Linked DNA regions of Drosophila melanogaster. The protein of the gene in region 1 interacts with the protein of each later gene in a biochemical or structural test. Each region holds a gene or a part of one and is shown on either strand. Other genes may lie near its edges.

Region 1 (5,722 bases):
TCTTATGACTTCATTATTAAATTATTGTGAAATTGTTATCCAATAATTTTGGGTCCAAACGAAAGGTACACAGTAGGATTTGCAAGTAATAGATTATATATTTATCAAACTAAGAAGTTGAATAAAAAATATTTATATTTATTTCTTTGAATCATATTTTACACTGTTTTTTTTTTTTTTTTTTGATTCGTTATATACGAAATAAATTTAAAAAAAAATTATGCATCGGCCGGGAATCGAACCCGGGCCGCCCGCGTGGCAGGCGAGCATTCTACCACTGAACCACCGATGCTCTTGCTGCATTTCAAACAAAGCACTATGATGGATACTACACGACTGGAACCAACAACCTGTTGGTGTTGGGGGATTCCTGTCACTTAGTAGCCTCCATTTCAGTAGACTCCGTGGCGCAACGGTAGCGCGTCCGACTCCAGATCGGAAGGTTGCGTGTTCAAATCACGTCGGGGTCATTCGAGAAAGCTCCTGTTGTTTTTGGGATATTTCTTTTTTTATACATTTTATAAAAAATCCTTCATTTTAACGTTATTTAAATACATAATTTATTGTATAATTAATAAGCAGCTTTGACTCACTACAAGCAACGTCATTTACATAATGAGCATATAATTTTAACATTTAAAATCTTCCAATATACTTTGGTCCCTGTCGAGGAACATTATGAATGCAACTCTTTATATAGGTTAACATACATACATAACTATAGATCTGATTAATTTGATGTGAACTGTTTATAAATTGTAAATTCCCTAAACAATTTGCCGTGATTTATTATCAGTTGTTCCCTTATTGCACAATGCATTAATCGTATGTATACGTTGTAAAAATTATCGTTCAAGTGCCATAAAACTGCATATAAAATTGAACATAAAACTACCCAACACCGGTATTCAAATCTCGTCCTCTTCGAATCTCGCTTCTCATTACATTCATCTATCTAAAAAACGTATTTTGCTAACAAAATTTTTCAACAATTTTTACACAAATCAACAAGGAAAATGGCTGCGCAATCATTGCACTAACTAAATGAAATCAATCCTAAAAACATAAACTAATGGACCCTGTGTTTCGTTTCATTTTTGTTTGTTTGTATATAAGCGCCTCCAAAAATATTGTAGGGGTTTAGTTGGTCTCGGATTTCAGTAGCGTCCTCTAGTGCCCACTCTATTTGCTATTGACTAAGTTCAGGAATTCCTCACGGGTCTTGGGATCGTCTCGGAACACGCCCAGCATAGTTGAGGTAACAGTTTTGCTGTTGATCTTCTGCACGCCACGCATCACCATGCACATGTGGCTGTATAGGAGGAAAGCCATTCGTTAAACTATAATATTCTTTAAAATATATATGTATATATATTTAATACTTACACTCCCTCTACGACCACTGCTACTCCAGCGGGTTGCACGGCCTGAGTCACGGCCACTGCGATCTGCTTAGTTAAGCGCTCCTGGACTTGCAGGCGACGCGAAAATATTTCGACAATGCTATGGGATCGCAAATTATATGAAAGATCATCTAATATGCATTACTAAGTTTATCTTACCGTGCCAATTTACTGAGTCCGAGAATCTTGTTGCACGGCAAATAACCGATGGAAACTTTGCCGTAGAAGGGCACCAGATGATGCTCGCACATGGAGAACATTTCAATATCCTTGACCACCACCATTTCGTCATGATCCTCGTCGAAAACGGCGCCATTGAGAACATCTATTAAAAAAAATTTGAAATGGTGTAGTAAAAAAAAAGTACGAAAAAGGAATTCATCATCGCCTGACCCCGACGTGATTTGAACACGCAACCTTCCGATCTGGAGTCGGACGCGCTACCGTTGCGCCACGGAGTCGTTATTGAAAAGTTCGCCCAATGTCCCACAACCACGAAGCTACTCAAGTGGCGTTCCTTCGCTACCCGTGATTTATGGCGCGCGTAATTCGTGTTAGATTTATTTGCTGCATAACTGAATACTGAATGTTAAGTTCAAGCGACTGTGAGTGCTAAAGTGGTTGCTTAGCGAGTGTTTGTGTGTGTGTGTGCGTGTGTGAGGTTGCGGGTCTTGGGGGGAGGTTGACTTGACTTGACTTGACTGGATGGGCTTATGGTTCTTGTGGAGTGTGAGCTTTCGCCACACTCGTTTTAAACGATGTGCTCTTGAGATTCCCATTCCTTGAATAGAAGCCGCCGCCGCACCGCACACCCACCCACTTTACCGCTCTTAATATACAGACCGGAAAGCTTCAGTGCGTTTCCTGACCAACCAGCGAAGAAGCCAAGAAGTAGCCAAGTAGCCAGTGAGCCATCTAACAAACAATCCAACAAGCATCTTGTGTGTGTGGTGGGGAGGGGGGTGGAGTTCCCCCAACACCAGATTGGCAAGTCACGTTGGCTCGGCTTCTTGGGTTCTTTGAATTCGGGTTAAACACAATCCAACCCATTCTATTGCCGATGCCGAAGGCTATTCACTTTCGTTCAACGAATTTAGCTTTCAAATGGCCTGCTGCTGTTGCTGTTGATCTTAAATTTACATGCGATTTTATTTGACAAACCGTAGAACCTGATTTCTCGGGCAACCGGTTAGGTATGCTGGTGTAGCAACCATATAATTCGCAATTCTGTTTTGTTTCTCAAACGACTCACATTGATTACATGACAAGTTCAAAAGCGACTGCAAGTCGAAATGCACGCCAAACATGAGACCAAAAACTTTACTAGTCAAATCTCATATTTCATAGGATATTGAATGGATTTTGGATGCGTCCACTTGATTGGACAAGCCCGAAATTGCCTAATGGCTCCCTATGTTCATGTGCTTTATCTCTCGAGTGGTCAGGTAATTAGGCTAATGCACCATAGCGGACCGAGGAACCCCCGTAAATGGTGATTCACCGACATGAAACTAGTTCCCACTCGCTGGGAAAACCAGGATGAGCAACTTCGATCACTGACCCGGTGCTAATTGCTTGAAATGTGTGGTGTGCTTACCCTCGAGACTCTGGTCGTAGCCCTTGGTGAAGTACAGCATGGCCTTGGCTGCCCGCTCCGGCGTCTTGATCAGTCCCTGGCGATCGGGATTCTCGCCCAGGCCGCCCAAGAGTAGACGATACGAGCGTGCCATGTCCGGAAGGAGGGCCTCTCGCGTCGGCGGCTTGTGGTCCAGCTCCAGGTCGTGGTGGAACGTGCACTTCTCGTGGCCTGTAAATGGAAATACGGATGGAAACATGATGAGAATCGTTATCATGCGAGATAGGAAGGCATTGCCCCCCTTCGTTGGCTGTGTGTGGCTGTCTAAGTACTATTCCCCATTCCGAGGCGCATCTTCTGACCTCTGAACCGAAACACTAACCCACTGATAGGCGTACGGTTTATGCTCAAAAAGAGTTTGTCAAGCACTCCTCCTCCTCCTAGTTCATTGACTAACTAAATCGGTCGCAGCAAACATAGCTCTGGATCCCCTGACCTGGTCCTGGACCACTACCCACCACTACCTGGCGTTGTCGATGTACGCGGTGTCAGTGGTGTTTTCGGTTGTGTACCATCACTATCCGGACTGCTGCCGTTGGTCTTCAGGATGAGGCGGGGTCTCTGGTTGCCGGCCAACGGGACGAGAGCAGGAGCTGGCGCCACCTCCTCGACGGGTGTGCCCGCAATGGCAGTGGCCTCCTCCGCCTGGTTCTGCTGCCTGTCCGCCAGCGAGGAGGTGCCCGAGGTGCTACTTGTTGAGCAGACGCTGTTGTTGCGTCCGCGCGAAAGGATGTGGGCCTGCGGGAAGTTGGTGTCGTCGATGGCATCGTTCAGCTCGCTGGCACTCATCTCGGACAGTTGGCGGGTAAAGCTCATGGCGGTGCGGCTACTCAGGTTTGTTTGCCACTCGAATGGAACTCAATTTGACGGCTAGCACACAATCTTTTTTCCTCGATGATTTTCTCACTGCTATCTGTCTCTTTTTGCGCTGCTGTCTGCCGGACTTTGTCTTCGCGTGTTGGCGCTTCGGGTGGCTCTGCTCTTCTGGTGGCTGCTGTGGCCAGCGGTGGCAATAAGAACCTCTCGAGCGGAGCTTTGAGCGGCGGAAAGCTCCAATCAATAGCCAACAGACCATCCAACGGGCAAGCTCTGCTCCGAGTTTCGCTTGCCGGAGATTAAGTGAGCGGAACTAAACCGAGCTGAGCGCAGGCCCACGGTTTGGCATCCAGTGGCTGTAAAACCGCGCACGAACTTGTTGCTCGGCCAGGAGGCGATAGAACTACAGCACTAGCCACGAAAATAGTGCCATCAAATGTTAAAAACTAGCTTTGGGTGGTAGGTCAATTTACTTGTTAGGAAAGTAAAGCTACCTTATTGGGATAAGTGTAGCGTTTACCCTTAATATATATTATTAAATAGAGTGTACCAAGCTTTTGCCCTCAAACGTGCACTTTATCCTTGGCGCCAACTTAATCTCAACTATTGTTTGCATATCCTTGAAACCCACTCAACTTGGGGCCAGACGTCAAGTTGTAGTTCATTTAAACATTCCACTCGAAACGAGCTACTCCCCCAAATTCGAACCCCCTTCCAACCATCCGCCCCTCCATTCATCTTGGAGAACCAAAGTCATGGCGCACCGCCTCCAGCTCCGTAGCGATGACTTCGACGTTATCGGCGCCGTGCCCCGCAATCTGTCCGTGATCAAGAACTTCCTGAAGCGGGACTGTGCCATCAAGAAACTGATCGACATCGAGGAAGAGTTCCTGCAGGAATGCGTATTGCGCGGCCAGGATCCCATGAATCCGAAGGGTAAACGTGACAGTGACAGTGGGCCACATGGTAGTGGTTTGGGATCCAATGTGCCCGAACCCAAGCCGGATCCATGTGCTACCAAGACACCGGAGAACACATTGGCCTCCGACTACTGTGATCCCTGTCGCCGACTCAAGACCTCCGTGGTTCTCGAAGAGGTGAGTGATCTGTACATTCAATGTGCTTCAGTGATTTAGATGTTACTCCACTCATCTATCAGCTAACCAAGCCGGCCATCACAAATCCGGCTTTCAACAAATCCCTGCCGCCGTACTTCGATGAAGAGAGCGTGATGGGCAACTCGTTGCCCGTGAAGTTCCGTTTCCGGCGCAAGTTCAACAAGTGCGACCAGGAGAAGGCCGGCAACCTGATGTGCACCAACACGCCGAGCACCAATGTGGTCGTGTTGACCAACTGTTGCGACGTGATGGTCTGGCCCAGTCAACGGGTGGCCCAGATGAACCGGGTGCCGGTGACCATGCTGTCGGGCGAAGCCGATCTCACGGAGTACATGCTGGAGGAGGAGACCATTATGTGAGGGAATGGTTGGATGGGTGCAGCTTTTTGGCACATAACGCCGATCAATAAAGCATTAACCCCACTTAGAAGTGTCCTCATTTTGTGCGGGAAACCCTGCATCCCACATGTGGGGCTTCAATTGAAAGTAGCTAGTCTCTCCAGCTGGCCAAATTTGATTATTCTCTGCATATATTCGGAATCTTATTTGCATGCAAAGTATTCGTGGTTTATCGCGAGCACTTTTCTTGTTTATGGCATGGAGTTGAAGGTTATTCTTTATATATGTATATACATATATATGTCCTGAGAAATAGATTTTGGTGGGTTTGTAAAAAAGTACAAACCACAAGGAATGTAAAGCACATTAAAACCTTCCACCGCTGCTTAGGGTCGAATAAATCAGTTGGGA
Region 2 (7,952 bases), on another chromosome or scaffold:
GCCTGGCTTGGGGACCAACTGCGCTTTAAGTTGATTATATATATAGATTTATGTGCGAATATAATTAGTAATTAGTTTGGCTAATTGCTTGCAGAAATGTTAACACTTGGTTGGCTTTCGATCCAATTGCAACTACAATACATCGAACAATAACAATAAAATTCCATGCTACGTTAACTATAAATATGTAATATTCTTGATCCCAATGTTTTACTTTGTTTACTTTGAAATATTTTGATTTTAATTACTTTATAATAATACATATGTATTGGTCCAAGGTTTTTCGTTATTTTATATAATTTCATCAAATTTGTGAAATATTTTCTACATAGCTCGATTTTAGTTCACATGAGATTCACTTCTTCTCACCCATAAATATATTTATCATATTCCTCGATTCTACTCATTAATTTTAAATAAATATTCCATTTTGATGTCATAAAATGTTCCCTAAACAGATTCAGACTTTAGAGTTTCGAATTGCCAAAGAAGATAATCAAATGAAAAAACCAAAGAGTAATTATTTTTCAATTGCATTTTTAATTTTATTAATACACAAAACTTAAATAAAATAATAATGTTTAAACTCTACATACCTACAATACAATACGTAATAGTCATAAGTATAATAATAGATAATAATAATAATAGTACACAATAGTAATATTGTCGTTTACAGTTATTGTACAATGTAAGAAAATTCTGTTTTGTTTTCCATTTCATTTTTTATCTTTTCCGTTTTTTTTTTTGTTTGTTTTCCATTTGTTCCTTGCTCGATTGTTGTATCTATATCATTTTTGTTTAGAAATACTCTCTCTAAATGAAGCTTCCTATACCGGGAATACTATATCGCGTGTCTATATAGTCTAGGTAAATATTGTGAGAGGCAAAATGAAGATAATAATAATACAAAAACAATTTTTGTCTGAGTATACAATCGGTTTTTGTGTGGTACTTTGCCTACTAAGTGCGGATGTATCTGAACTTTGCTTTCCCAGCTTTTCACTTCACTTAATTCGCTTTGCTTTGCTTGGCTTGGCTTGGCTTTGTTTTCACATCACTTAAACGTCTAAAGATTTTTTGGTCCAATAATAGTTGCGGTGATAAATATGCAGGTTGGGTGGTGTATCGGGTGATCAACAAATAAATATGCTTGATTTTTGTGTTTTTTACCATGTGCGCGATTCGACAATTACAACTTTTCGATGACAATTAAATAAAAATTAAACAAAAAACAATAAACAAAAAATAAAAAATAATGCGCGATGCCTTAATTTTGGTTTAAGGATTACGTGTACGAGGGATTGTGCGGTATGTCAATTTAAAATTAATTTGTATAAATGAGACCGTTGCACCTGTATGTGTATGTTTGGGTGGTGGGGGTGGCTGGTGTTTTTTTGGGCGATGTTTTTGGGTGCTTCTATATATCATACATATATCTCCCCCCCATCCACTTAGAACGGGCGTCGCAACTTGGAGATGGCGTTGGTCAGATGCAAAATCTCCGTGTTCATCTGGTGCACCAGAGTCTCCAGCTTGTCGACGGAGTCCAGCACCTCGACGCGCTCGGTGTGCGGGTTGAAACGCACCTCGAATGGACGCGACATGGTGCTCACCCAGCGACGGAACTTGTCCTTGGCATCCTCGAAGCTCTCGGCCACATAGTAGATGGGCTGGTACTCCTGATCCTGGTAGGGCTGCACGGCGGTGGATGCGGGCTCGAAGGCGCGGTGCTCGCACTTGTCGCTGATGGCATGGAGCAGCTCACCGTAGGAGCTCAGGAGTCCAGCACCGTAGGCCTTGATCTGACCATGTTCCTTGCAGAGACCGAACTCAACAGTGAACCAGTATACCTGTAGAAATGAAATGGTAAGGAACCAATGAGTAAATAGGAAGGAAAATAAAAGCAAAGGCAGATAATGCAGGAAGTTGTATGACTTATAAGATCAAGGTTTTCTGAACTTAAAAACTTATTTAAAATCACAATTAAGTGTTTTGAAATGCATTAAATTGTATCTGTAAACTATATGAATAAAAAGAAAAAAATTATTCTGGCATTGAAGTTCACTTTTCCTCTTCGACTTTGACAGTGACTAAACAATGATCTTGGTTGCGAAAAAAAACTAGCTGCGTCATAGCTGCACTTGAGTCTAAGGTCGTTACATTGCAACTCAATTAGAAAATCAACTCACCGTGGACAGCTTCTCGATTTCTTCGTCGGAGGCACCCAGCGAGGCCAGTCCAATCTCCTGCGAGAACTGGGCGAAGCTGGGATCGGCCAGCAGGGGCATGTGACCCAGCAGCTCGTGAATGGAGTCGCTGTAATGGCATAGAATAATGCTTGTTAAAAGTGTGGAAAATGTGCTGGCATAAGGCAATTAGTCTGGTTAAATGAGCTGGGCAGCCTGCCGCAGTTCCTGTAGCCAATTTGCCTGTGTTCCAGGCGACAAAAGTTGCTTGGGAAAAGCGGAAAAGGAAACCCAACCACCCACACACACACAGAGGCAGGCGGCAGGCAGGCAGGCAAATGCAATTAGGCTAGGACAAAGAGCCTTTTTCTCCCCTTTTTGAAGTGATTTTAACCCCCTAGTAAAATATGATGATAGATACTTACGGCTCGGGGGTGTGGTATGGTGAGTTAACGTGGCGCACATACTGGGTGCTCTGGAAGATGCGGAAGGCCAAGGAGGCAAGGAAGTCCCGGGCAGTCAAAAGACCGGCGGCAGGACGGAGAGAGAATCCGGTGTTCTTGCGCAGAAAGTCGGACATCTCCTGCAACTGGGGCAGACGGGTCTCCACGAAGATCTGCTCATCCTGGAGCTTCTGGAAGGCGGCCCGGTACTCGGCACAGGCGTGCTTGGGAGCCAGATCCTGAACGGTCTTGAACACCGAGCGCCAGGTCTTGACCTCCACATCGGAGTAGTCGATGAATGGGATCGGGTCTCCGTACTTGTAGGCGAATGCGATCTCGGCAATTTCCTTGCGACGCTGGCGGTATACCTTGTCGGCGAATCCGGGGTGGTTCATGTCCAAATCGGGCTCGTACTTGGTCATCAGATGGTTGCAGTTATCCAATTCGGAGGCGTGCTTGGGGAACCACGGAGCCTTGACATTCAAGTTATTGTCGGCCATCAGATTCATGCTGCTGAAGGAGCCCGACTGCCTGAGGGAGCGGATCAGCTGCAGCAGATTGCCACGGGTCATGTCCAACTTGATGAGGACATCGTGGTCCACGCCCTCCACGCGCGACTGACGGGACTCCACATGCTGGACGGTGCCGTGGAAGGTTTCGATGGCCTTGAGGATGCGACCCAAGGAGGAGATGCCCTCCTTGAGGCGGACCACCAAAGCGGCACTCTGCATGGCAGCCTCGGCATCCGAGGATTCGGAGGCGGCATTGGCCAACAAAATCTCGTCCTCGGTGAGACCGTAATCTGCAAAAGGGCCAAAAAAAAGCGGGGATAATGTGATGGTTAAGGATGCAATCTTCCAAGGCTTAGGGTCACGTAAACGATAAGCGAGCTACGTGGCAGTGGCAGTGAGACGGTTGCCAGGCAAACGCATTTCGTACTTGTATTAAGTCGAGCGTAACAAATGAAAAAGGGAAATGCGACATTTCCACAGAGAGAGAGAGAGAGAGAGAGAGAGCGAGCGAGCGCGCCCACTCACAATTGTCCGTGTGGCTGAGTGCTTTTCCTCTGCCCTGGCACTTTATCATATTAAGCACTTAAATCAATGTCGCACGCTTTTCAAAAGCCCCTCTCAGAAGTTAAGTACTACTTATGGTTGGCTGCTGGATTCTAGAACCCCCTGCTCACCGTTCTTGGTCGGCTGTTGGTTGCCTTCTGGCTCCTGCGACTGCGACTCCGACTGCTCCTGTTCAACGCTCTCAAACTCAACATCCTCCTCAACTAAAAGCGAATGAAATAAAAATAATAATAAAGCCCATGAAAATCATAATCAAAATCAAATCAAAGATAATAGGCTCAGAAAGAGGAGTAACTGGCATGGGAATTGAAATGGAAATGGATATTAACCTGGAACATATTCCTCCAAGGGCAGGTTCTCCAGATTGGCATGCTCGTCCTGGAGCTCCACATCTTGCTCGGAGGGAATGTGCTCCTGAGCCTGCACAATGCAATCTTCCAGGGAATCGTCTTTAAAATCATAAAAATAAAAACGAAGGCAAATAATAAATAAAGGGTTAAAATGAATAAGAAAAAAACGCAAATCTATGTCAAAACGAATAAAATGAAATAAAAATTGCAACTTTTTAAGTTTTTAATCAACAAGTAAAGCCCTAGCTGCAAAATTTCCCTTTTGATCCCAAATAGAAACCCTCTTTGGAGCTATTTTAGTGACCCACTTGTTGGACCCTATCCACTTACCATTTGCCTTGCTGCGGGCCTCCTCGAGGACGGTTTGTTTGGTCTGCTTGACCACCAGGGTCTCGAAACGGGCATCATCCACCAGGCTGCGACGGCGGGATGGATAGCCATTCTGGAAACGAAAGCGAAAAGATTGAAGTCCGTGTTAGTGACACTGGCAGGATGTGGAGCGGAAATTAGACGATTGCCTTGACCTTCAAGCCAGGGTGGCTTTCTTCGGCTCCACGCTTGGGTGGTGACTTTGAGCAGAGTATTGCGCAATTTTGAAAATATTATATAAAATGGTGTGTGAAAGCGCCGTCTTCAGATCTTTTTCTTTGAATAAAGCTGGCTATTCATGGAACTGTATTGATTGTGATTCAAAGCCACGAATGGTAATTTAATGCGATGTCGCCGCTTCGAAGCGGGCAGGTGCGAAGATAAATGATATGTGACTGAGAAATCGAAAATCCCCATGCGATTCTGGCGGGAAAAAAATGCAACTGGCGATCGTTAAAGGTTTTTTTTCTTTCTTTTTCTTGATGGGGGGAAAAAGGTTTCCATCACTTGCAGTTTTCACTGTCAGCTCGTTTTTTTTTTTTTTTGTTTGTTTGTTTTCTTCAGTTTTTTTTTTTGGGCCACCGCTTTGGCTGATGAAAGATGACCAACTCATTGAATCATTTATATTGATTTCATATTTTTTGTTTTGCTCGGACGCAGCATAAACATAAACAGAGACGAGTCAACAACAATGAGGCGCGACTGTTTCGGCCAGGCTAAGTGCATGGGGCCCAAAGGCAGCCACTTTCACTTATTTGTTAAATAATAACTTAACACACAACCCGTTGTGTCCGTTGGCGATTTGGGCCTTTCGATTTGGGCCGCCTGTTCTTAGAGGTGTGACTTAATGGCCAACCGAGGATTGAGTTTGGTCAAATTGAATTGGCGAAAAAGAAATGCGGGATCACAAAAATGGGCTCGACTACTGGCCGGTTAACTGGTTTTTTTTTGAAAACACAAAACCTTTAGATAGTCACGTAGACCAAATCTAGTCACTCATTTGCTTCTTTTTTTTTACAATTCGATTTGGAAATTGTATGTTTTGCTGGATTTTCGACTCACCTCAATACTGTAGGATTTCTTGATGGCGAACATCTCGCGGTTCTTTTGGGCTGCTGCAACGGCCATCATTTTTTTTTGTGTGTTTGGGTTGTTTTCGTTTGGGGTGAACAACAAAAATTTACGCAAAGTGTTGGCAAAAACACTTAGAATACTATTTGCTTATGTGCTTGGTTACGCTTTTCTTGTTTGATTTGCAATAAGCACTCGAAATGTGTTGACACTTTCACTGCTTATTGGCGATCTGGCTGGGTGGTTTTGTTTTTCAAGAAAATCGCTCCTGGTACTGAACTGTTTGCGTCTAGAATTGAGCTGGACAAGAACTCTCGACTCTCGAATTCACGGCGGGATATATAGATGGTTGATCGGTTGAACTTTAGCTGGATCCTTTCGCGAACTCGAAACTGATGTGGTGATGTGTATTATCCTTGTCAGCTAAATTGTATTACAACAAACAGAGTCAGCAAACTACTTGAGGCTGGGCACAAGTCTTTAGGGCGAATGATAGCGAATCAATGCATGCTTCATGTCGAGTTGCCGCCGCTTAAATACCCCCAGATTCCGATTCCGACGGCCAAGTTAACGAACGTTTCGGCCGATTGCCGACGATTGTTTGCTTCACCAAACGACGATGACTGGTTTTCGCATGACGCGACTGTGACGTAGTTGCCCAGCTGTAGCTGGGTTAAAGCCAAGATGCCGATGCCGTGGGGTTTCCTCTCACCAGCCAGCTAACCAGCTAGCCAGCCAGCTGAGTGGGTCGAGAATCGCGGGGCCTGACTCGACTCAACTTGGTCGACCAAGTTCAAGTGCGGCAACAGGCTAGAACGTCGCATTGGCCATGTTTTTGTTGCTCTTGTAGCTTGGCTAAAAAGCGGGGTTAACCATTAGCGCGTGCGCGTCAATCGGAATGGTGGTAGAATACCCCAAAAGTATTCAGTCAGTCGAACGGGAGTCATTTGAAAAGCCTCAACAGGTCATACAGAAAAAACCAAAACAAATCCAAACAAAGCGAAGCTAGTCCATGCCAAATGTTAAGCATACGCCGTGTGTGCACAGAGCAAAATAATGAAAATATATGACATTCTTACTCTGTAAGTTGTTTTAGGGAAATGTTTTTAACCACTAGAATTATTTTAAAGAAGTAGGTTAAAATTATTAAGAATGTTTTAGACAATAAAAGCACCTTACGTTTATGATACGTTCCATTTTTCTAGGTGTAACAACAGTCGAAGATCTCGTTCAGTTTTAGAACCCAGCAATTCGCATTAGATCCTGAATGACTCAATCGAATCGCGTCAGAACTAGAGCGGATGCTGAAGCGGATCGTATAGGGACCAAGTGAAAGTGAGCTGGAAAACAAAGTAATGGTAAACAGGAAGTACGGATCACATGGCTGCGTGCGTGCCCGAGATGTAAGTAGGTGGCACCCAGCCATATCGATTAAATTTTAAAAGCACATTTAACAACTAATTTGCATGCGTAAATGTAGCACATTAAACTAAGCCCGGGCGATAAGTACAGGCACATTACAATATCTATGGCATAATTGAAAGCCCCGTCAAAACATCTGGCGATTGGGATTTGCATATGGCAGCTGACGGATTACGAGACCGACCATATAGCAATCTATATAAATAATTATATATATATTCCTGTCCTGTAAGCTGATAACGTTGGCAAGGCTGCCGCCGCTTCTCAAATTGGACTCGGGCCGCCAATTCGAATGACATTTTCAGTGGCAGTGGCAGTGGCAGCATTATTTTCAATCGTGTTAGCTTTTAACCAAATTCAGTTAGCGGCGATGTCGAGATCGAAGCAAATTTGCCATTGATCTACATATGTGCACTTGTACTTGCCAACAATCCGGTCATCCTTGCAGCCTGCATCTAGCAACTAACTAACTAACTAATGCCGATGTTAATGCGGACCGTTCAAATTAGTAGATCGAATCGTTTGATTGAGCTAACGAGCCCGATAATGAGCTAACACATCACATATACGTCTATTTGCTTCGATCCGCATTAAGTTATTAAGGCATCTGGAGTAGCAAAAACATAATTATCGATCTGATAGATCCATTATACAAATTGGATCGATAGAGTGGGATTGGTGAGTTAATAAGTTTGTGGGAGCTAGGAAATACATTTGACAACATCGAAAAGCTTTTTACTTAGAATATCGAGGGTAATAATTAATAAATAGCACTTACTGGAAATAACTTAAATTATTTAAAAAATATAATACTATCCAACTAGCAGTAAACTGCGTACTATATTACCCATTAGTCACTGGCAAAAAAAGTTCCCACATTAGCCTTAATACCACATTCACATTCGGCTAAACATTTACTTCCGATTTTCGAGCAATATTTTAGGAAGCCAATCAAATAATAATTTCAGCTAAATGTTGTTATAGTTTAAGTGCCTACAGATTAAAGCCAGCATATATATATATATATATTTA

Evidence for each region. Proteins that work in one complex are often made in the same cells at the same time.
Region 2: the proteins of Pu (region 1) and ple interact in far-western blotting, tested with the Drosophila melanogaster proteins (one study listed by BioGRID).

The regions. Positions count from the first base shown.
Region 1 is NT_033778.4:21,177,426-21,183,147, reverse strand, and holds Pu (punch), read right to left. Parts: upstream 4,031-5,722; 5' UTR 3,856-4,030; coding exon 3,504-3,855; intron 3,211-3,503; coding exon 3,001-3,210; intron 1,865-3,000; exon of another isoform or gene 1,793-1,864; intron 1,729-1,792; coding exon 1,563-1,728; intron 1,504-1,562; coding exon 1,387-1,503; intron 1,313-1,386; coding exon 1,183-1,312; 3' UTR 540-1,182; downstream 1-539. Other genes in the region: CG4286 (uncharacterized protein), read left to right, coding at 4,611-4,952, 5,015-5,332. UniProt on the Drosophila melanogaster protein: Isoform B is required for eye pigment production, Isoform C may be required for normal embryonic development and segment pattern formation.
Region 2 is NT_037436.4:6,713,516-6,721,467, forward strand, and holds the start of ple (pale), read right to left. Parts: upstream 6,011-7,952; 5' UTR 5,559-6,010; coding exon 5,490-5,558; intron 4,501-5,489; coding exon 4,389-4,500; intron 4,158-4,388; coding exon 4,038-4,157; intron 3,912-4,037; coding exon 3,819-3,911; intron 3,435-3,818; coding exon 2,615-3,434; intron 2,320-2,614; coding exon 2,193-2,319; intron 1,854-2,192; coding exon 1,455-1,853; 3' UTR 1-1,454. UniProt on the Drosophila melanogaster protein: Plays an important role in the physiology of adrenergic neurons.